5 linked regions of the Kluyveromyces lactis genome follow. The protein of the gene in region 2 binds, or shares a complex with, the protein of the main gene of each other region. Links are inferred from orthologs where the notes say so. Each region holds a gene or a part of one and is shown on either strand. Other genes may lie near its edges. The genes, in order: EAF3, SIN3, UME6, SDS3 and RCO1.

The links.
Region 1: the proteins of SIN3 (region 2) and EAF3 are in contact, whole or in part, in a cryo-EM structure (PDB 8KC7), measured with the Saccharomyces cerevisiae proteins. The link is inferred for Kluyveromyces lactis from reciprocal best matches to the Saccharomyces cerevisiae genes SIN3 and EAF3. Residues at the interface, in NP_014639.1 of Saccharomyces cerevisiae: Phe751, Lys756, Arg757, Leu758, Pro759, Trp782, His785, Val787, Trp788, Asp792; in NP_015348.1 of Saccharomyces cerevisiae: Asp242, Lys243, Pro379, Asn380, Arg381, Ser382, Asp383, Val388, Asn389, Thr390, Ser391, Ser392, Glu395.
Region 3: the proteins of SIN3 (region 2) and UME6 are in contact, whole or in part, in a crystal structure (PDB 6XAW), measured with the Saccharomyces cerevisiae proteins. The link is inferred for Kluyveromyces lactis from reciprocal best matches to the Saccharomyces cerevisiae genes SIN3 and UME6. Residues at the interface, in NP_014639.1 of Saccharomyces cerevisiae: Glu407, Phe408, Ala411, Ile412, Tyr414, Val415, Asn416, Lys419, Tyr429, Leu433, Leu436, Gln437, Tyr439, Gln440, Ile446, Val449, Phe467, Lys469, Phe470, Leu471, Pro472, Asp473; in NP_010493.1 of Saccharomyces cerevisiae: Asp519, Leu520, Gly521, Thr522, Ala523, Ala524, Ala525, Val526, Leu527, Ser528, Met530, Arg531.
Region 4: the proteins of SIN3 (region 2) and SDS3 are in contact, whole or in part, in a cryo-EM structure (PDB 8HPO), measured with the Saccharomyces cerevisiae proteins. The link is inferred for Kluyveromyces lactis from reciprocal best matches to the Saccharomyces cerevisiae genes SIN3 and SDS3. Residues at the interface, in NP_014639.1 of Saccharomyces cerevisiae: Ser661, Leu662, Asn663, Val666, Lys809, Glu813, Glu816, Tyr817, Tyr820, Ile821, Leu825, Arg826, Ile828, Gln829, Cys830, Glu832, Thr833, Asn836, His857, Lys869, Val870, Tyr871, Arg875, Glu878, Ile879, Ala882, His886, Val889, Thr890, Val893; in NP_012182.1 of Saccharomyces cerevisiae: Arg18, Ile21, Glu22, Val25, Leu75, Glu76, Val78, Arg79, Leu82, Phe83, Tyr86, Arg90, Ile93, Glu94, Ser289, Lys291, Thr292, Ala293, Pro294, Pro295, Leu296, Gln297, Ser298, Leu299, Pro301, Glu303, Val304, Thr305, Asp307, Ile308.
Region 5: the proteins of SIN3 (region 2) and RCO1 are in contact, whole or in part, in a cryo-EM structure (PDB 8HXX), measured with the Saccharomyces cerevisiae proteins. The link is inferred for Kluyveromyces lactis from reciprocal best matches to the Saccharomyces cerevisiae genes SIN3 and RCO1. Residues at the interface, in NP_014639.1 of Saccharomyces cerevisiae: Ser661, Leu662, Glu665, Val666, Tyr675, Ile676, Leu681, Thr683, Glu684, Lys687, Ile688, Asn690, Leu691, Gln694, Asp695, Ile696, Leu697, Asp701, Lys705, Asp707, Phe708, Tyr709, Gly711, Ser712, Glu749, Gly769, Ser790, Glu791, Asp792, Ser793; in NP_013791.1 of Saccharomyces cerevisiae: Lys82, Leu84, Leu85, Ile93, Ile94, Lys95, Leu96, Glu98, Pro99, Ser100, Thr101, Ser103, Glu104, Lys107, Ser109, Val110, Thr111, Leu113, Pro114, Leu115, Asn116, Lys117, Gly118, Pro119, Ile123, Lys124, Glu126, Ser127, Leu128, Trp129.

Annotation. Positions count from the first base shown.
Region 1 is NC_006041.1:1,190,182-1,194,321, reverse strand, and holds EAF3 (Eaf3p), read left to right. Parts: upstream 1-1,643; coding exon 1,644-2,720; downstream 2,721-4,140. Other genes in the region: casein kinase YCK3, read right to left, coding at 1-841; KLLA0_E13487g (C2H2-type zinc finger protein), read left to right, coding at 3,015-3,707; SDD4 (Sdd4p), read left to right, coding at 3,795-4,140. UniProt on the Saccharomyces cerevisiae protein: Component of the NuA4 histone acetyltransferase complex which is involved in transcriptional activation of selected genes principally by acetylation of nucleosomal histone H4 and H2A. The NuA4 complex is also involved in DNA repair.
Region 2 is NC_006039.1:546,352-549,886, forward strand, and holds the end of SIN3 (transcriptional regulator SIN3), read left to right. Parts: coding exon 1-2,489; downstream 2,490-3,535. Other genes in the region: palmitoyltransferase PFA4, read right to left, coding at 2,561-3,535. UniProt on the Saccharomyces cerevisiae protein: Catalytic component of the RPD3 histone deacetylase complexes RPD3C(L) and RPD3C(S) responsible for the deacetylation of lysine residues on the N-terminal part of the core histones (H2A, H2B, H3 and H4).
Region 3 is NC_006042.1:1,922,283-1,927,498, reverse strand, and holds UME6 (DNA-binding transcriptional regulator UME6), read right to left. Parts: upstream 3,352-5,216; coding exon 988-3,351; downstream 1-987. Other genes in the region: EBS1 (Ebs1p), read left to right, coding at 1-440; KLLA0_F20658g (uncharacterized protein), read right to left, coding at 4,400-5,216. UniProt on the Saccharomyces cerevisiae protein: Component of the RPD3C(L) histone deacetylase complex (HDAC) responsible for the deacetylation of lysine residues on the N-terminal part of the core histones (H2A, H2B, H3 and H4).
Region 4 is NC_006041.1:773,821-777,777, forward strand, and holds SDS3 (Sds3p), read right to left. Parts: upstream 2,225-3,957; coding exon 1,265-2,224; downstream 1-1,264. Other genes in the region: KTR5 (putative mannosyltransferase), read right to left, coding at 1-830; DNA-binding transcription factor CRZ1, read left to right, coding at 3,185-3,957. UniProt on the Saccharomyces cerevisiae protein: Component of the RPD3C(L) histone deacetylase complex (HDAC) responsible for the deacetylation of lysine residues on the N-terminal part of the core histones (H2A, H2B, H3 and H4).
Region 5 is NC_006042.1:2,400,082-2,405,208, forward strand, and holds RCO1 (Rco1p), read right to left. Parts: upstream 3,254-5,127; coding exon 1,382-3,253; downstream 1-1,381. Other genes in the region: sister chromatid cohesion factor PDS5, read left to right, coding at 1-1,213; SDD2 (Sdd2p), read left to right, coding at 3,535-3,936; protein transporter TIM10, read left to right, coding at 4,368-4,637; cytochrome c1 heme lyase CYT2, read right to left, coding at 4,935-5,127. UniProt on the Saccharomyces cerevisiae protein: Catalytic component of the RPD3C(S) histone deacetylase complex responsible for the deacetylation of lysine residues on the N-terminal part of the core histones (H2A, H2B, H3 and H4).

The sequences.
Region 1 (4,140 bases), on a different chromosome or scaffold from region 2:
ACGATAGATATTCAGCAAACTGTTTTGGTATCTCCGGTGTCAATAAATCCGTTGGTTTTAACCTCTGTTTCGTGAGTCCAATCTTTTCATACTTAGCCTTGTTGTTAAGAGCTTTCAAACCTTGCCATGGTAAGGACCCACGTAAGAAATAGAAGAATACGTGGCCAAGGGACTCCAAGTCATCTCTTCTCGATTGCTCTCTACCGAAATGGGTGTTTATCGACATGTACCGCGCAGTCCCGCTCAAAGATTTACGCTCTCTATATGGTATATGTTGTTTTGTGTTTGGGTCCCTAAACTGCTTTGCCATTCCGAAATCAACCACGTATATTAGGTTTGCGTCACCACCACTGCTTGTGGCACACGACTTAACCACTGACCCATCCGATAACTCCCGTTGAAACTCAGATATCAAAAAGTTATCCGGCTTAATGTCCCGATATATCAAATCATGCTCGTGAATAGAACGTACTCTATCAATCATCTGTTTCGCCAACATTGCTGTCGTCTTTACGGAAAATTTTCGACTACACCATTCAAATAAATCTTCTAACGACGGACCCAACAAATCGATGATCAAAATGTTATGAATCCCCTCTTGACTGAAATAATACGCATGAGGAATTCCTCTCACATCATTCAATATCCTATATGCGCGAAACTCATCCCGTAACTGTGGTGAGTCAGACCGTCTGGGTTCAAACTTTATAGCAACAGGGTTCTTCGACCCACCATTTAGAATGTTTTCACCTTCAAAGATTATTCCAAACGAACCTTCCCCAATCTTAGGACCAACAGCATAGTGAATTCCTACCACATGCTGGGACGAACGTTTAGACATTGCAAAAGCACCGACTCTGGGTTTTATCAAGTCCTATCGGGAAACAAAAAAATACAATACTAGGAAATGTGGGAAACCTTTCCTTTCTCTCTTGCTTCGAATAAAATAGTTCAGTAGCCACCACTCAAATAACGTCTCATCGACTCAGAATACCAATACAGATGTTTGTCCGCGTGTAAAAGATCGTCCTTGCCAGTCAGAACCGTTGTGGTTTGCTTCTTTGGTCACTGTGATAAAAGGCTGTTTCTTTCAAATTTGTTTTTGTTTCATCAACTTTTTTTTTTCTTTACTTTGGCATTAAAGGTCAGAACAGCATTATTAGGAGAGCTTTGCAGACCTTGTGTGATGGTAAGAGGTGGATATGCGACGTGATTAGTGGCGTTGTGGTGCTGGAATTGGTGTTGAAGGGTGGCCAAGACTTTATGAATTGATACTAGTTTGACTCTAGTGCTTTGAGGCAATACTTGGAGATATCAGGTCACTTCCAATGTCATATCATATCACGTGAGTTGTCACGTGATCAGAATTTCCCACTTCCTTCTTCTTGGAAAGTACTGCATTCCTTCCAAGTAGCTGCGGTTTATATACCATTACTATCAAGTGCTCACCTAGTGTTATCTACTGTTTCTATACTGTCCGTTTTCCCATGTTTCTTCACGTAAAATTCAAATGCCAAATCTTACGTTAAAGCTACCATCTAGCACTTTCACGAAACAGAAGTTACACATAGTATTTGAACCTGCTACGCTGGTCTTTCTCCAAAATTTAATTGTCCCAGGGGAACTTTCAGTAGCTGTTGATCATGGCAATTGTTCTAGATGGGAAATGTTTGTGTTATCACGGACCTTTGCTCTATGAAGCCAAAGTATTACGAGTTTACGATGAAAAGAATCAGACTATTACATCAAAGGACTACAAAGACGTGAGTATTGACGATGAAAAAGTAGAATTTGATCGTCCGCCGGAACATATGAGACAGGGCCAATGCTATTTTGTGCATTACCAGGGCTGGAAGTCGAGTTGGGACGAATGGGTTGGTTTAGACCGAATCAGACCGTATAACGATGAGAATTTGGAATTGAAGAAGTCGTTGGTGGAAAAGGCTCGAGAGTTGAAGAACAATGGTGGGAAGAAGAAATCAGGATCACGGCCTGTTGGCAGGCCTAGTAAGGTTGAGAAGGGCAAAAAGGCGGCCAGCCGTACCTCAAATAGTGGCAGTGGTACTAATACTTCGGCAAGTTCGACTTCCGCTTCTAATCCAGCCTCATCTTCATCTTCTGGTACAACAGCAGCAGCTTCCAGCTCTGACAAATCCGACCGTAAGAAGGCAACCCCAGTACTAAACAAAAGATCACACCCTAAGATACACATAAAAGTCCCTATCTCGCTTCGTTCTGTGCTTGTAGACGACTGGGAAAACGTCACAAAAGACAGAAAGCTAGTACAACTACCCAGCGAACGGCCAATCGAACATATCTTGTCCCAGTTCTATGCAGATACTAGCAATTCGACCTCCTCAGTGGTAGAACAAGCTCAACTCTCAGAATTTCTGCAGGGAATAAAACTCTACTTCAACTTATCCCTGGGGAAATTACTCTTGTACCGTCTAGAAAGAATCCAATATGCAGAACTACTGAAAGCACACTCGGAGAAACAGTACACTGAAATTTACGGAATTATCCATCTACTAAGACTAGTCACTTTACTCCCCGAAATGATGGAATCAAGCAACGTCGATGACCAAACTGCCAAGATCCTAGTGAAACAGTGCGACATTTTACTCGAATGGATCGCCATAAACATCGCGAGGAAAAACTTCCCAGTAGATCCCTACATAAACACGTCCTCCCAATACGAGGGGGTCGCACTAAGCATGTAATATATCTCTACCACATCTCCAGACCCCACCACATACACCGTTATATATATATATATCCCCCAAAACCCTTTTTTCGGGGACCCCAGAAATATTATTTCCGGGCCGTGATTATAAGCGATCAACATCTGAAAAACAGTTTCGATTCGACCGTACTCATCATAGCATAACAATCACAAGACATCATAAATATACTGTTCGTTATCCTTAAATCATCAGCTGTCGGAGCCTCGGAGTAAGCAGTGTACTTCAGTATCTATTGATATATTTACGCTGTACAGCAGACGGTGGTAGAAAATGATGGGTTCTGAGAGTAAGGAAGCGTCGGAGGAAAAAGTAGGCGGCAGATACGTTTGTCCTCATCCAGATTGTGAGAAGACCTTCTCACGGTATGAGCATTTACAGAGGCATAAGCTTAACCACTGGCCGAAGCAGATATTTCGGTGTGAATATGTTTATCCTGACGATGGGATAGTTTGCAACCGGACTTTCGTTCGGAAGGATTTGTTGGTGAGACATCAGAGACGTCACACGAATAACGGTGTTCGAATGCAGATGAAGGTGAGAAGAGAATCTGGCAAAGAAAGAGCGGCGGGTGGGTCTAAAGCAGCGGCACCGCAGCTGCCGGATACGGCGAGTGTCGCTGGTGTTGGACAGCAGCCACAACAGCAGAAAAAGGTGGATCATATCGTACTTGATGTGGGGGATAAAAAGCACAATAAGGCGAGCTCGGGTAGCGGACATGCGGTTGGCCATGACAGTAACTCTTTGCCCAATAGCAGTAGTACGACAAGTAGTAGTAATACTAGTCTGAATGCTGGGTTTAACGCAATGGGGCCAGCATCAAACGGTAACTTGAACAGTTTCTTCAACTGGTTGTTCGCCGGTGGTGTAACTCAGGATGCTACGCCTCAACAGAATAGTAGGTTGGATCAGCCATCTGATGCAGTGCCACCAACTGCGAAGTTGGAAGATCCATCAATTTTGTGACCGCCTCTGTCACAATCCCACGTTCAGCCACAGTACCAACGTCAGCAGCAGCATATTGATAATATTCCCTTGGACCAAAAAGCACACATGGTTCCGCCTCAACAACAGAGTTATGATCCTGAACTTAACACAGGCCTCAATACCAATCCAGGATTAACAAATATCGTGGATGATTTATTCTCGGTGGATTTCTTACCAACAGATCCGTTACAAACCTTGGTGCAGCAGATGTCTTACAATGATATCATCCCTCAACAATCGGGAGAAAGTGTCGCTACCCCATCTAATGCAGGCTCTGTTACTTCATCCATCGACTCGGTTCCAAATAGATCTCCAAAATTTAAAGATGTTGGAAAGGAGAACATTAAGGACAATTTACTGGCACAGAAGTCGAAAGTCGGAGAGTTAAAATCGCAACTGAAACGGTCAGCAA
Region 2 (3,535 bases):
AAGTGACGTTCTTTGAAAGAGTGAAAAGGTTTATTGGAAACAAGCAAGTTTACGCTGAGTTTTTGAAAATTCTTAATTTGTACTCACAAGATCTTCTAACAACCTCTGAATTGGTCTCGAAGGTGGAATTCTATTTGCATAGCTCTAAAGAACTTTTCGATTGGTTCAAAAGTTTTGTTGGCTACCAAGAAAAACCCAAACATATCGAAAATATAGTACATGAAAAACATAGATTGGACTTGGACCTCTGCGAAGCATGCGGCCCAAGTTATAAAAAATTGCCAAAAGACGATACCTTCATGCCATGCTCTGGAAGAGACGAAATGTGCTGGGAGGTTTTGAATGATGAATGGGTGGGTCATCCAGTGTGGGCGTCAGAGGACTCTGGGTTCATTGCTCATCGGAAGAATCAATATGAGGACACACTCTTCAAGGTAGAAGAAGAAAGGCACGAATATGATTTCTACATCGAGTCCAATTTAAGAACAATTCAAACCTTGGAAACGATTGCTAATAAAATTGCAAACATGACCAACGAGGAAAAGAACAATTTCAAGCTTCCTCCTGGATTGGGTCATACTTCCCTAACAATTTATAAGAAAGTCGTTAGAAAAGTATACGATAAAGACAGAGGTTTTGAGATTATTGACGCCTTACACGAGCACCCAGCTGTCACAGTGCCCATTGTTTTGAAAAGATTAAAGCAAAAGGATGAAGAATGGAGAAGAGCTCAGAGAGAGTGGAATAAGGTCTGGAGAGAACTTGAGCAAAAGGTTTACTATAAATCGTTGGACCATTTAGGGTTGACCTTTAAACAAGCCGACAAGAAATTGTTGACTACCAAACAACTACTATCTGAAATTAGCAGCATAAAGGTTGATCAAACCAATAAAAGAATACATCCATTGACACCTAAACCAAAGAGTCAGTTAGATTTTGAGATAAATGACCGTGAAGTTTTGTATGATATTTTGGATTTGGTGTTTACGTTCGTTAAGACTAATGCATCCTATTCCAATTCGGATAAGATCAAATTGGATCATTTTTTCAAGGCGTTCATATCTCTATTCTTTTCGTATCCAATCAAAGATGTTAATGAAGCTGTATCTGAACGCTCTTCAATAACTGACCAAGAAAATGGAGAAGAAGATTCTAATAAAAGCGATTCAGAAAAATCTAATAAGAGAACATTATCTGATGAAGACTCTTATCTGATGAAAGACATTTTGCGTAGGACGAAGAATGCAAAAACCTCGAATTCCGAAGAGAATCAAAATAGCTCTTCCGTAAAATCGAATGAAGAAGATGAGACTGAACTCTTGGCCAAAGAGGCAGCCAAACCTTGGTTACTCGGAAGCCTTATTGATGAAGCCAATAATAGTGGGATAGTATCCGATCGACACATTTTCAATCTCTTCACTAACACAACCATTTATGTTTTCTTCCGTCACTTGAACACTCTCTATGAACGGTTATTAGAAGTCAAGAAAATAGATGCTGAGGTTACTGATGAGATTAAAAACAGGAAAATTGTACAATTTGCCAGCGATTTAAATCTAATTTCGACACAATTGGCTGACATGGGTCTAGCTTTCAAAGACACTAAAGCTTATGGTGAGTTGTTAAGACTTTCGAAAAGATTGATAACTGGTGATTTAGATCATCAATGGTTCGAAGAGAGTTTACGTCAAGCGTACAAGAATAAGGCGTTCAAAATCTACACCATCGACAAAGTCGTCCAGTCACTAGTGAAACATGCCCATAGTATCATAACGGATCCAAAAAATGCCATGGTGATGGTTTTGTTTGAACAAGACAGACTAAAAAGGGATACCACTGCAAAGGATCAGATTTTGTATAGATTGAAGGTCAGGAACACCATGGGAGAATCTGAGAATATGTTCCGTATTGAATACAATACCGACAGCTCACATGTATCAATCCAATACGTTGCCGTGGACGATTTGACATTAAAAGAGCCTCAAAACATGAAAGAAAAATGGGATTACTATGTCACGTCTTATTCATTGTCTCATCCTACCGAAGGGATAACACAGGAAGATATCAGCCAACCCTTCCTTGGGAAAATCATCGAAAAAGAAGCGGAATATCTTGATGATGAGGAACAGAATGACAAGTTCTCACCAGAAGGGGTCTCTCAATCCAAGCTCAAAGTTAACATACACCCAGAAACTTATGAACTAACTTTCGAATGTGGTTCAACTGATGTGTTCACCAGAAAATCTGTTAATAAGTTCCCAAGCTCCCAAAGCACTCAACCGGCATCAAAAATGGATAAATTCTTGAATAGTTCTAAGGGTTGGAAGAAAAACTTGAGCACTGAGATAATTGGACGCGCAGAGTCCAAAATGAAAATTTTGAAGGAACAAGGTAAATTAGAAATTGACCAAACACTGACAATTACTGCAAAAATTGAAGAACCAAACGAACCAATCTCTAAGGAAGATGTTCCTGAAAAAGCTGTGTAGTTTTTGCATACACGATTGTAAAATAAACAAATTCATGTTATATAATGCAGTTATATAGTAGTAATATTACCCTATTCAAGTTCAGTATCTACTCCGAAATCGGATAGGTCTTCTCCCCAATCGTTATACCAGGAATTCCGCCCTAACCTATCCCTGAGATCTACGGATTTATCTCTTATTACTTGTTCACCTCCAGAAACTATCGTCTCGATTGATGATCCTGATCCTAAAGCCCGGGAATGATGTGTCAAACCATCAGGAGGCCAAGGTAAAGACATAAGCATATCCTCTATAGATGAATTTGGATCATAGAAAAAAAGTTCGTTCTTGGCGAATGATGTCCCTATAGTTGGCGGCTTGGACCACGGCCACAACCAAAGATACCAAGGACCCATTGCATTGTTAATATTGGTCCATGGGTTGACGTCATATGGGAAGTTGGTGAAATCTTCTTGATTCACATATCTTTTTGAGAGTAATTTATTAATTTCGTGCTGCTTGGCGGGAAGTATTTCGGGCCTTCGCTCCACCAAACGGTCTATAACTTGAGCCAAAAGCCTGTTCTTGTAATGTAAACTTTGAATTCTGTCCATCTCCCAGGATTCAATTTGTGTCATACCATGCAAACATTGGTTATAAATACACCTTCCTAGTAGTGAAGAAACTGTGAGCAATACAAATGCATCCATAGGAGTCATAATGCAGATAAAAATGATCTCTGATGTAGACCTATGATGAAAAGCCGTATGCCTTATGGACCAAAGTAGATAGATTCTTCCAATAAGGAGAAATAATAGGTAAGCAGTAGAGAAAATGACCCAGAATAAGAAGCGCATAAAATGGGGAAAGTTGCTGTGTCCAACACAATTGAGCGTCCAAGGACAATGGTGGTCCATTGCTAATACGCATTGATTACAGGTTTTACAATGATGGGCCCTTTCAGGCTTGTAAACCCGACACTTTTTACAGTAATTATGCCATTCTTCCGCAGACGGCTTAAAATCCTTTGGCGGTATACCTGGGTTGGTATAAATGGCCAAATAGTA
Region 3 (5,216 bases), on a different chromosome or scaffold from region 2:
TGTCTTCCACTAACACCAATGGCAGTTCTACTGATTCCAGAGAAAATAGTAACGGCCTTAATGAAGCTCCTAAACTTAATGTCCAGAATCTGTCCACTTTCAACTATTTACAGAACGCTTCGCATGATTCTCAAATAAGTATATTTGCCAGGGACAGTGTTGTTATGTCATCCCAGGCGAACAACTCCGCTGGTCTGTACGAACAAGCTCAACAGAGAACATATATGGGCTCCCAATATGCCCAATTCCATAATCCATTCACTTCGTTCTCACCACAATTTGACAACTTGCAAAATCAAGAAAACCATCCTCAGAATTCAACTAATATCAGAAGGGACTCTCAATTCTTTCCCAATAACAATGTCTCCATTGCAGGGGATCGTTTGCCTTCAATGGCTGAAAAGGCTGATGATCAATTCAACTTTTTCTTTTATTCATAGCGCAAAATAATAGTTCTCGGATTGAAAAATGTGTTTACCTTTCATGTACTGAAGTGATTCACATATAATTATTTTTAACGCCTTGTTTTTCTCTATTCCTTAGTTACTGAAACGACACTTTTTTAAATTTTATCTTAATTATTCCAAATTTTGGTTGTAATGTATGTGTCTATATTTTGTATGTTCTTTTATTTTATCTTATTTTATTTTGTTGATCCTCATATCATCTCAATCCTCCTTTGAAAGCAGCATAAAGTTTAAATATTGAACTACGTTGTCTTTTGAAATCATTTCCATACTATTCCCTAAGCTTTGTGCTTAAAATACGTACAATTCATACATTGTATATTAAAGTCAGTCTACACATTTATTACAGCAAATATATCTGAGTATATTATATATTGGGAGGTGAACATAATCATAAAAGTTCAGTCAAAAATGGTATCTATAGAGTTTTGAGGGGTTGTCCATTATTGTAAAAAAACTGAGAACACCTGATGATACAGATGTGTGTCTGAGAAGAATTTAGAGATGATTGTCTCTTTGATTATAACCAAGTCTTCTTTTTCATTGCTTGTCTCTTAGCTTCTTTTGTTTTCTTTTTAATTTCTTCGAGTTTTGCTGCCTTTTTAGCAGGATCTGAAATAAAATCGGGTTTTACTATGTCGTAAAAGCATTCGAGGTGCAACCTCACGCAGTTCTGGCATTGCGGTTTCTCTTCTGTACATTTCTTCTTACGCAATCTACAGATCCAGCAGCCAGTTCTTGACCGTGCCCCCGTAGCATTTCTTTTCTTTATTTGATCACTTGATTTGACCATTTGCTCGTTAGAAACATCATTATTGTAATTAGATTCTTTAAACTTCAGTTGTTTGGCATGTTTGGAATTCGGTGACAATAATCCAGTGTGTTCAGTAGATAATGATGAAGACCTTGATCTTTTTATATGCATACCATTTTCCGAGATATCCGCAGCGGGGTATGCCGTAGTATCTGGATGGTCTCCAATCTCATTTTTAATTCCTGTCAATTGAGATTGATAATGTGGTGGGCCTGATCTTCTTCTGGACAATCTTCTTTTTCCATTCTTATTCCATGCAACAGTTTCTGGTGCCTTTGATCCCCCTTCGGTCATTTCGTAATCACCATCGCCATACCCGTCATCATCATCATCCTCTTCTTCCATTATAACGAGTTCATCCTGGTTGCCAGTCAATGGTCGTTGGTTAACCCGAAGCACTGGCTTAGGTAAAAGTCTTTTGGAGAACGGATTAAAGGCATTATTTTGGAGAGATTGGTTTGATAATGACGAATTCGGTCGGCTATCATGATTGCCAGAGCCGAACTGTTCGTTAAATGGGGGTAATGGGGAAGACCTCATCTGAGAAATGATTGCGGCAGCTTCCGCATCCACGTTGGAATCTTGATCATTCAAAGTTGGGTTGACCATTGTGCTATTATATGGATACTTGTTAGCCGACTCTACTTTCGGAAAAGCGTTTGAGGATCCTAATAACACTCTATTCCTTAACTCATCGAATTTTGTGTTGAAATACTTCGGTTGGTAGGTAATATGTGTATTATTGTTATTACTGTTTGCTGTGCTACCGTTATTACTGCCACTACTATTACTGCCACTACTAGAATTACTGAAAGGACCATGAACCTGATCGGTTTCGAACATATAGGTTGGAGAAACAATTCTATTCATGGTAGATGAGACCTGCGGGTTTTGATTTTGATATTTTGGATGTAGGAAGGATCCTGTGGAGTGAGGAGGATTTGACGCTGCTGAGGATGGGAAATGAATAGTGTATTCATTTCCTGCCGTAGATGGAGGGGGCGAGATTGATTCTGCTGTCGATCTCGAGTTTAGTAATGAAGTAATATTGATCTTTTGAGCTGAAATTGATGAGATGCCTGCACCCGGATCTATTTTCTCTGTGGAACAATCAAAATGTAGTCTTTTTGGAGTCATGGCGCTTCCTGTGGCATGCAGATCTCTATCACGGGAAGCGCTCGAGGTCTCAAGGATCGGCGAAGATGAAGGCGCAGCAATACCGCTCGCACCGTCATGTGAAACAGTTCCAGGATTACCAATGTTTCTGCCATTGCCCTTTTTGCCTTCGAGTCTATGTCCGCTTTGTCGCAGCATGCGTTCATTTTGATGACTACCAGTATCAGCTTGAATTTCCTCGCCCTTTCTTGAATCGTGAAGTGTTTCTGTTTCACTCACTTGACCAGAGTCTATCCTATCGTTGAACAAATACACGGGAGTGCGCGAGTCTTGATATAAGGTGCTACTCCCTTTCCCAGTGTTCGGCAGCGTATTGCTACTGGATATACAGATAGATGGTGTACGCGTATTTATTTTTGGAACATGTTGTTTATCAGCCGAAACCACGTGATCAAAGTCTTGGGTACCCGTTTTTTTCTCAAATTTCACGGCAACCTCCTTTTCCTCTTGCTTAGTCTCTCCGTAACGAGGAAGTGGCGGCAAAACCTCGGTTTGAGGCTTTGTCCCTGGAATCCCGGAAGGCTCTCCACGTGAAGGAGAGATAACACCCTGTTGTAGATCGTTTTCCTCCACAGGCGTATTATTCGGAGCAGCAGTAGGAGACATCGCTAAATGTATCAAGGGGTTGAGCCTTGGTGTATGTCGCAGCAGCGTTTGTTTTTCACCTGTTTTCACTCGTTGTTGTTTTTCGTTTTCTTGTTTTTCATCAATTTTGGTCACTTCCCGCTGGGCGGTTAGCTCCACTTGGGCGGCGTTTGTTTTTGAATGTTCGTCAGGGTAACTTGGCGGGGTACTTTTCTCCGGCACATGCATTTTGGAAGATAACGGAGAAGAGGAGGATAAACGAACAGAGTTCACAGCACGCCGCTCAATTTGACTTTTCTGACGAACCATCTATTCCGAAGGTTCTTTTATATTTGAAGAAAACTTCAGTCTAAGTTTCAGGCCAGCGCTTAGCGCCAAGAGTTTGTGTTACTCTTGAGTTAAAAAAAAACCGATTCTCTCCTCACCCCCTTATAAGACTCTTGAAACTAAACACAATCAGGTATTAAGCCAGGAGCTACGGAATGAGCGGGTTCGTAATTAGTAAGAGAGATTGAACCAGAAGCCTGTCAATTCATAGAGGATCGCGGTTTCAATGAATGTAAGCATTCATAAAGAATAAAAAAATAAAGTAGAGTATATTACAATAAACTAAAACAAGTAAGAGAAATCAAACATTTGTAAAATTCGATTTATATAAATAAATAAACAACGCCTTGGATGTGATTTTCGAACGAGATTCAATTAGGCGTTTTTTTGCCTTTTTTTGAGCGAAAAACTACAGGAAAACAAGCGCAGAAAACGAATCAGAAGGGAGAAAAGGGAAGAAAAAAGGGAACGGCAATGGTACTAGCCATCTAAGCAAGCTCATTGACCTTGCTTTGCTTCTCGGTTTTTTGTTTTTAGTAGGATATCTGAAGTTTGTAAGGTGCACTGCTGTTATACAGTAGCTGATTACATATGTAGCCCGCTAAGATGGTGGGTTTCTTTAATTACCCGTGGGAATAATTTTTGACTGTTTTTGACTTTTCTTATCCATTGGGCGTATCGCTTGACGAAAATTGTCTTGAAACTATTTTACACGCTGGAAAGGGAGAAAAAGATTTGAAAAGAGTAAAGACCATGTATTACCCGGTCATAATCAGTTGTTCCGGCTTAGTAACTTTTGGGCCCAAAGTCTTAATCGATTCAGGCCAAATATAAAGAGTTTTGACGGGAAACTAGAGTAAAATCGATCTAAAGTGAGATAAACTACTTTTGTTAATGTAGTATGGTATTTATAAAAATTAAATTATTGATGATACTTATCATATGGATTTGCTAATATACATTTGTTCCAGATAAGTTGTAGATTAAAAATAATTAAAAAGCACCGCTTATTCCTGCATCTTTTCAACTTTCAGATAGTCTTCTCGTCGTTGTGAAAAGTATTCATTCTGGAGAAGGAAGTAGTGTATTGTTCGAACGGATCGTGCACTGCTCTCTTTTCTAAATCATTTTCTGGATTGTCGACTCTGTCCTTGATGCCGAAGTAATGTCTCTTACCATATTTGTATAATTCAACGCCTGCCCAGAATGCGAAACTAAATCCGATTGCGAATCCCCATTCGTAACTGATATTGTAATGTAAGAACACTTTGTCGTTGATTACTGGGATATAAACCACTGGGAACACGGAACAGAACCCACCAACAATGGACCAAAACAAGAATTGATTGCTCCAGATGTCCTTGAACACTTGAGTGTATGGTGTTTCACTTTCAGGGTTCATCATGAAGAATGATCTTCTCATGTCGACAACTTCCCAGGCTAAAATCAATGCACACCAAGTCATTGTTGCAAATGCTGCAGCACGGCCTCTGAAAACCAAGTGACACGTTTCACCAAGTGCATCGTTACAGTCAGAACCCAAGTTACCATCACCGGTACCATAGAGCACGGTAACGAAACATGCCATACAACATGCTGCCATGATGACACCGTATACAAGCATATCAATAATGACTTCCCAGGTGAAAACAACAGCCTTGGCATCCTTTGGTGGCTTTTCCATAACGTCAACACTGGCCTTCTCTAAACCAAGACCCATAGCTGGGAAACATGAGGTAACGACAATAATCCACAACACTTCGACAGGTGACAATGGGAACACAGAGAAACCTTCTTTATCAACGAAACATAAACCAACCATCAAGTATAAAGCTTGTGCCACATTC
Region 4 (3,957 bases), on a different chromosome or scaffold from region 2:
ACAAAGGAATTTAAATAATCATCTCCGAGTAAAACGTTTCTATTCTTAATAAAGGCTTTCCACAGTGATCCGAGTTTGATATCGTTTTGCTTGATGAAACTTCTGGTTGCTCTAAATAAGTTCGGCACAGTCCAATATATTTCTTTGATAAAAATTGTGAAACCGTATTTCTTTCCTGCCTTCTTCATTTCAAAGAATGGATCATAAGTTAGATCACAGAAGAATTCCACATCTGGTTCAATACGCCAGTACCACTCGTATTGCCTAACTGCAGGGTGTTTATAGAAGAGTCCGGAATAAAATCTGCACATCTTATGGTATGAAACCATATTCCCATACATAATTCCACGATCACCCTGGGATTCAACGTAATGCTGAAATAGTGGAGTGTTCTCCTTAGGGAAATTCCATGAGGACTCATCTACAAGGGCAAACGTTATGTTGGCAGTTGTTAATGATCGGACTCTTTCTTGAAATTCATCAGTGAATGGTTCGTTGTTCATAAAAACGTACGGATATTGGAACCATTGATTGAATCTTCTTTCCACAGATCTCATAGTGTGAATTACCCCATCCAGCTCCTCGTTTCTTGTTAACATCACAAATGTGGCATTCTGTCGTTCATATTTTTTGTGATTTAGATATTCTGCAGTATCCACACACCCTTCAAAGAAGGGATGTTCCTTCTTAGAGGCGCGATCCGCTGAGGAGTAGACTACAGCATCTTCCCATATTGCAGCTTCTTCCGTTCGCACAATATGGTGTACACCAACACAAATTAGAAGTGCAATTGTTATCACTATCAGTAGCTTTCTGGTTCTATTCCTCATGAGATAAGATGGAAACTATCAGTAATCATGCAAAAAAAAGTGGAAAAGATGAATGTGTACGTCCCAATAGTTGAAGATGAAAGAATGAGGTTTTATACTAATATTCTTGGTACTTTAATCGACTGTTGAGTTTATGTTTATAAATGGATCGCGTATTGCGCATAAATCATCGTCAATAGATAACTGAAATATCAAAATTCAGATTCTGTTCACTTTTTTGTGCATACATTAAAAAATACGCAGTATTATAAAGTAGTAGTATTACACATGAGATACACTAAAAATACAAGGTATAAGACTGACAATAACGGATAGTATTTGGGACCTAAGCAGTTTGGGAAATATTGGATGACAGAAAAAAAAAACTGGTAACATTTTAGTTTCTTCACTTGTACCCCAGACCAGATTTACAAGATAAATCCAACTATTGATATTCATTTGAATGGGGCTGGTACTTGGCCCGTTAGCTTTCTTATCAAAGATATATCATCAGTAACCTCATCCGGAGTTAAAGATTGAAGAATAGGAGCGCTTTTTGTCGAAAGTCTTTGGTGACCTCGACCCATCTTCTTTTCCTTTTCCTTTTCCTTTCCGAACAATAAAGCCTGTAATTCTGATGAATCGCTCAGATATTGCATCGACTCTGCATCGCTATTAGTATTGCTTGATTTCCCGCTTCCGTTTGCAGGTGTAATGTTTGCAGGAGTTTGAGCTCTATTCTGATTAGTAGCAGCACGCCTACGCAATGACCTCCTATCGGTAGTATTACCAGTCTCATTGCCACTTTCTGTTTGGCTGACATCGTTCGGTGACGAATCCCAAGCCGAAAAATTGGCTGAATTTTGAGTTGAGCTTCTAGTCTGCTTCTGGAATTTCCCTCGAGAATAATCCATCGAATAAGACTGTGTGTTTGCTACATCCAGAAGTAGCCGTTCCTCTTGCAATTTCTTGATAGTTTTCTGTAGGGATTCATACAACATCTCTTTGCACAATTTGATCATCCTTTCATGTTCTTGCTTGGCTTTTTCAATATCTTCTTGGAACTCTACTTTGGACCTGTAAATCCGGTACTCTTCGAAAAGCCTGAGCCTAACTAATTCCAAATCCCTATCTTCTTCAAGATCCCTCAATTTCCTCAGAAATTCAGGGTTATTCCCCTGATGCAGCGTCGTTAAATCTGTCTGTAACAGAGTCAACCTATCCCTATAATGCACATCTTTATCCTTTGCAAACGACGTTCTTATCTTTCCCACTTTCCCTTCAAACTGTAATCGCTTCTTATCCTTCCTACTCAAATCCTGCCCAACACCTGCGGGAATAGCACCCCCATTCTGTTTCGCTCCTTGACCTTTCTTCACACCGCTGCTCATCATAGAATATTGTACTTCATCCATGTTCCTCGGGGGGAGAAGCTGTATTTACTGCAAAAGCTGATATAATTGTTAAAGTGAAACCAGAAAAACTCTCCGGTATCGTTTCTTACCAATTATCCTGTGAAATTACTAACACAGAATAAAAAATTACAATTGAAAACGTTAACACAACGAGTTAATGTGCTGCTCGTTACATGTATCGTGCAACGTATGAGCTGGGTACAAATTATGTACAAATTATGTATAAAGTATGTACAAAGTACAACTGCTTAAGCTGCTCTGATTTAAAAAAAAAAAAAAAAAAATAATAATAATCAAATGAGACAAACAAGAAAATGCCATGCTTCTGCCGTTCGAACCTCAATGCTCCCATAACACTGATTTATTCATTGCAAGTATCACCATTTTCTTTTTTAAATTTTTTATGTTCCGTTTTCCATCTCATTTCCCCGCAGAAAAGTCGCAGCTTCAGATAAGAAAAGCTTAAAGCTGGCCGGTATAAGTGCAGGCTTTAAGTGTGTTGAAAGTTTTTAAAGGCTTTGAACTTTTGGCAATTTTGGTAAAGAAAAGGGAAAATTCCCAAAAAAAAAAAAAGTAAGTTAAGTTATAATATAATGACGATGTGATTTTTTTTTTGTTAGGTGAATAGAAGTGAAATAGTGAGACTAATTCAGAGATAAAACAGTGGTACGCAGCCTGTGATACACATCAGTGTTGTGTGTTATTAGTACAGATAAATCGCTGAATTTTGCGGTGCTTTGAACTACCCCTAATATTCTAATACTTTAAATTTCGACGTTATAAGTGTGTCGATTTTATAAAGCTCTTCTTTTCAGTCTTTCCAGTTCATAGGAAAGAAAGAACAGAGAACAGAGTTTTCGAAAAACATATTGGTTTCCCCTTTGGATATAATATTACCTGACTTTGAGACTTGTATTCCGAGTTGTTTTTGTTGTTTTTTTTTTTGACTGAGAGAACAGTATGGATATTGACGATTATTTGAATGTCGATAGTCCCAGTGACATCGGTGCGAATGTACTGTTAAATCCGGAAGATTCTGACAATTCTCGAGGGTCGAAGGTTGCGCCTGGTTTCAATGCGATGAATAATAGTAGGAAATGTGGTGTCAAGCTGTCTGACTTCGGTGGTGATATACTGTCAGGTTTTAAGGAGTTTGGGTTCAGTGTCGCGAATTCCTTTTCGAAAGAAACTGGTGATAATAACAAAAACGCACCTTCAATCCCTAGTCTTAGTATAAATGGTGTCCTGGCTCACGATATGCTTAATCGCAGTGTGAAAAGTAACGCCCAGCTTCAGCAGCCACCTAGCGTCAACCGTAACAACGGTAGAAATGCTAATAAATATGTGTCACATGAATTGAATATACCAAACACAGATCCATCTTTTTTGTTCCCTGCCTTGTCCACTAATGAGACTGACAATTTGGATACTGTGTCGTCGGCATCTAACTCACCATATATTTACCCATCAGATGCAATCTCACCAAGTACTGGGTACCTTGCTCTGGATAGCGATGTGGATGAGTTGCTTAGCGTTCATTCAGACTTATCCGATGTTTCCAAAGAGTACCAGTACATTTCAAATTTATCGGAATTACAAGAATTGACAGGCAACGTTAATGATCCTTTGCCTGATTATGTTGATAGTCAATTCAGCCAGTTGCAAGAATTGACTAACCTGGCGGGTCAATCTAATCATAATACTCAGGTGGAAGATTTACCGATGCCACGGAT
Region 5 (5,127 bases), on a different chromosome or scaffold from region 2:
CTGGCCTATCACAGCCAAAATTTTATGTTTGGAAGTATTAACAAACAGAATGTTATCGGAAGCAAGATCAGTTGATACCGACAGTTCGCTTGAGACAGTCTTTCATAAAATATTAAAACTCTTTTTGTATTTCGTCTCCAATGGCGGAGAAGTTATCAATGAAGAGAATGAAAAGAGGTTCCCAACTCCGTTCGCGTATCAGCGTAGAATTCGGTGCCATGCAGGTTTACAGATTCTGAAACTAGCCAAAATTGCTAAATTCAACAAATGGATTGAATCAAAATATATATTCAAACTTATTAATTTAGTTGAAGATGAAAGCTTCCCTGTTAGACGCGAATTCGTGACCAAGCTGAAAAACTATATTTCAAACGAAGAAATAAGCATCAAATTCATTCCATTAGTGTTCTTTATGCCGTTTGAGCCAGATGCCAAATTTAAAACTGATACTAAAATATGGATTAATTTTACTTTTCAAAAGGAAACAGCACGAAGAGGAGCTATATTTGAAAGAAGCCTTCCAAGACTTCTCCACTGCATTGCGCACCATCCTGATATCGAAGAAAACCTTTATGTGGATGCTTCAGAAGACGAATTCATTACATCTTGCAGCACTGCAATTGATTATGTTCTTTTCTTTTTAGATACTGTTTTAAAGCCCGAAAGTATCAGCTTATTGTATTACCTAGCCGGTCGTATAAAACAGTACAAAGACTTGTTAGATGAGGCTCCAACATGCATTTACGTGATAAGTGAATTGGTTCAGATGATTTTGAATGAATTGAAACAAATAAAAAATTTGAATCTCACCGTGTACCCTGGTAAACTCAACCTACCGAGTGATCTTTACGTACCCTTCGAGAACATGGAATTAGCACAGGCAAATACATTCAAAACATTCATCAAAGATGATTACACTCAAGTTCTTGAGCAAAAGATAAAGCTAAAATGTAGTAAAATGGTGCATGGGTCATCGACGACAACTAAGCAGCAAAAACAGCAGAGAAAGTTGACAAGTGAGTATAAACAGCGCACCCCTTCAAAGAAAAGAAGACATTATAGCAGTGACAGCGGCGATGACTCAGATGGTGCACATGATAGAAGTATTTACCCCAGCCCACTGAAAAGTAATAGAGGTCCCCAAAGGAAAAGCACCCGTACTAAAACTGCCGTCGATTATAATGAAGATGATGAGAACGAAGAGGTAATGTAAGTTACGAAATTCCATCATTACCTAGCTATATATCTGTCATAATTTATCTAAGGAAATGTTTTTTATCATATGTAGTTGTTTCTATATATAAGTCTTCAACTCGCCGATGAAGATGAAACATAAAATAACAAACAGCTCCATTGAATACGGGCATGCGTGAACCTTTAACTATTGAGTAAGTTTGAAAAATTCAAGAACTTCTTTTTTCGGTTTCGACTCTAAAAGCGTTTTCAACTTTTGAAGAATCGTTAACTCGGACTCATCTATGGGTTGAATTTTTGCCTTTTCCTTCAGCAATTGTTGTTCCGATATTTTACAGAGTTCCTTAAAGTCCCATAATCTTTTGAGGGTACCGGACGTTTGGAAGTATAAGAGGTTGGATATATCATTCAATATCGGGGTTTGATTTTCTGCTGCAACTAATTTGTCTAAAATCGTAGAATGCTGACACAAGTCTTCAAACTGCTGTACACGTTTCGCCTGATAAACCTTATCTAAAAACTCTAGTGCGACATTCTGTTCTGTAAGTTTTGATAAAGTCCAGGAGTCCGCATCTATTGCTATTTCTGTATCTCCGTTGTTTCTACTTCCTATTGGAAGTACTATATATTTCTGTTTTCCCCTTGCTAAACGTCTTTTGTATGATTTTGGTAATGGGGCATGCAACGGGCATTTCCACTTCGATCCCAGGTTTTTCAAGGATGCTCTAGGCAGTGGAAGACAATCTAAGTGCCATGGTGTTGAACAGTAATCGCAAGTCATTATCAGTCGTTGGGAGTCCGGATGGTCCCATGTTCCCATCTTTGATTCTCCACAATTATAGCACACTAAAAGTTCTCCAGAATCCTGGTTGAAATGATACTCTGGCTGATAAGAATCCATCCGTGTGACAGACTGCCCGTACGCGGAATGAAAAATTTGTTTTTCATTGATATTTTCTTTAAAGTGTTCGTCACGATATTCTCCTTGCGACCCCGAGGAGACCGAATCGAACGTTGATTTGATAATAGACGGCAATTGAAATTGGAACGGATTTTTCCTTTGAAGATCAAATGTTAGAGTACCGAATAACTGATACCCGGGTTGCTTGAAATGGTCTTGTAAAAACCTTGTTTTCAACTTTTTTTCAGAGGACAGTCCGTATTTATTAGACTTGATCCATTGCTTGAATCGGCATTCATCACAAGACCAATCACCTTCTGGTAGATGGCTTGGATCCAAAGGTGGGTTACAGCAAGCAAAATGGAAAGATTTTGGACAAGTGTCACAGCATAAGAACACCCCAGGACCATGACAGTTGGAACAAAAATCGTCATTTTCCTTGTTATTATCCGGATCAATTTCTGGAATATGTAAATGAGAAGCTTTATCATTTTGTCCAAATAACTTGGTATCTTTATCCTTGGTAGATTTCAACCTTTTCGCCATTTTTAGTGCTATCGATTTACTGGGCGAATTTCGTATAGGATCCTGTAGCATAAAATCCGAGTCAGCCTCTTGTTTAATTCCTGAATTTTTGTTGTGTTTAGTGGGAGTGTTCGCTCCTATGCGTTCATGACTTTGTACGGTCAATTCATTTGATTTTTCAGTTTGTAGTTGTCCCTCATATTTAGCCTCCATGCTGCTCTTTAATGCCTGTAATATATTGGATTTCTTCTTCTTATTGTTACCATTTCTGTGTTTACCACTTCTATTATTGCTATCATCATTGTCGTTATTATTGATGTTATTGGTACTATTATTATTGTTACTGTTGTTGTTACTCGATCCCTTCGGCTTCTGAGATAATGGCGTCCCTGTCATAGCATTTATTGGATCATGCACTGGCGGCTCCTGAAACGTTATATTTCCATTACTATCCTTAAGAATGACTGGTCCAATAGGTTCTGTCGATGGTTCTTGGGACGGTGATGAAGATATTGAGGATGTACTTTTCGTTGGATAATCATCACTTGGAATAATCCGTCTCTTTTTCAGATTATAATCCACATTGGCAGTACCTGACCGTTTGGGCCTCGTTACCTCCATATTTTTTGTCATGAAGCCGGAAAGTAGATGTACTGGCACGTAATTTTTTTAGCCGGTACTTTCCCCTACTCGTTGTTTCGCGTTGAACCATAATTTAATTCAATTGTTAGATGCGTTCAATTAAATTTGTATCGCACTTTTTTATTTTTTTTCTGTATTCCAATATCACGAACCTTCGATAGTTGAAGTCGTATACACATACCAGCTATATCAATGATAATGGAATCAAAATGTATATAGTTACGGGAACAGGCTGAGGCGTCACCAGTCACATTAAAATAATAGAAGCAACCATGGACGACGAATTGAGAGCCATTAGAGAGGCCAGATTGAGGGAATTGAAGCAACAAAGTGGAGGAACATCAGAATCAGCAAACAACGGATCGAATGATGGTCAAACACAAGCGATATTGAATCAGATTTTGGATTCCAATGCACAAGAAAGATTGAGCAGGGTAGCGTTGGTGCGGCCAGAACGTGTAAAGGCAGTAGAAGCTTATTTACTACAAATGGTGCGGTCCGGTGCTATTAGAAACAAATTAACAGAGCAGGACATCGTTGGAATCCTCGAATCAGTCGGAAGAGATGAGCAAAAGCGCAATACTACACGTATTATATTCGATAGAAGAGAAAAAGGAACAGCATCATCTAGTGTGGATCAAGATGACGATGAAGACGATGATTTCTTTGACTAGTTATCTGTCTTCAATATATCAGGTTTTAACAGAGAAAGAAAGTAAGATATACATGCATATATAATTACAACGAATGAGAACTCAATCCTCATAAGTACCAAATAATTGCAAGAATCGGTAGTTCCAAAGGTTCAATGACTACTATAGGTCAATGCTCCCTCTGTCAAATCAATACATGTCCAAATCACGTGCATGTGACCGGGTAACGTATATTTCCTCATATTTCTGAAAATTTTCAGTATAGCAACTATTCGTCAGGAATTGCAGTTCACTAAAATTTAACTAATAGCAGTTAAATGCGTTGACAACTAGACTGTTGTTTGATCTGTAAATATTTATTGACGTAGTTTATCGTAGTGATTAGTCTTCTATTCATAGCCACAGGAATACCACTCCTACAATAACAACATATAAAAATCATCTTCTAAGAAATGTTCGGTCTAGGCGGTCAACCTCAATTATCTTCTCAACAAAAGCTATCAGCAGCTGAAGCTGAACTAGATTTGGTTACTGACATGTTCAACAAGTTGGTCGACAACTGTCACAAGAAATGTATTGAACAAATTTATAACGATGGTCAACTAAACAAGAACGAATCTACTTGTATCGACAGATGTGTTGCCAAGTACTTTGAAACTAACGTTAAGGTTGGTGAAAACATGCAACAGCTAGGCCAAGCTTTCTCTCCAGGTAAATTCTAAACCCGATGAGGGAAGCTTAAGCCGGGACGTTAGTGCATAATCTTTTTCGCAACTTTTCACGTTTTATCATGTACATATATGACAAATTTTGTATATACAAATATATTATATATATATATTAATTATCTATTTACAGAGTTTTAAAAATGAGGTAATGTCGGAGTACCAAACGATTAGGTTTGTGTATCTCGATCAAACCGATAAATATAGAGATATAAATGTATTTGCTAATACCGTGATGTGTTTTTGTCCATTATCTTCCCTTAGGATTGAAAATTTGGACGATCCCTTCTGTCTTTAAAATCCTAGCATTTTCATAACGCGTAATTTACAACCTTCAAAAGTATTCACTTTTGGTCTAACGTCCAAATATATTGGAGGAAGGTGGTTCTTTTCAGGTTCTGGATTCGAATAGAAGTCGATGACATAATCTATTTGTTTCCCGCAGCGATCGACGACCCAATCGTGCCTATCAAAAGGTTTGGTCATT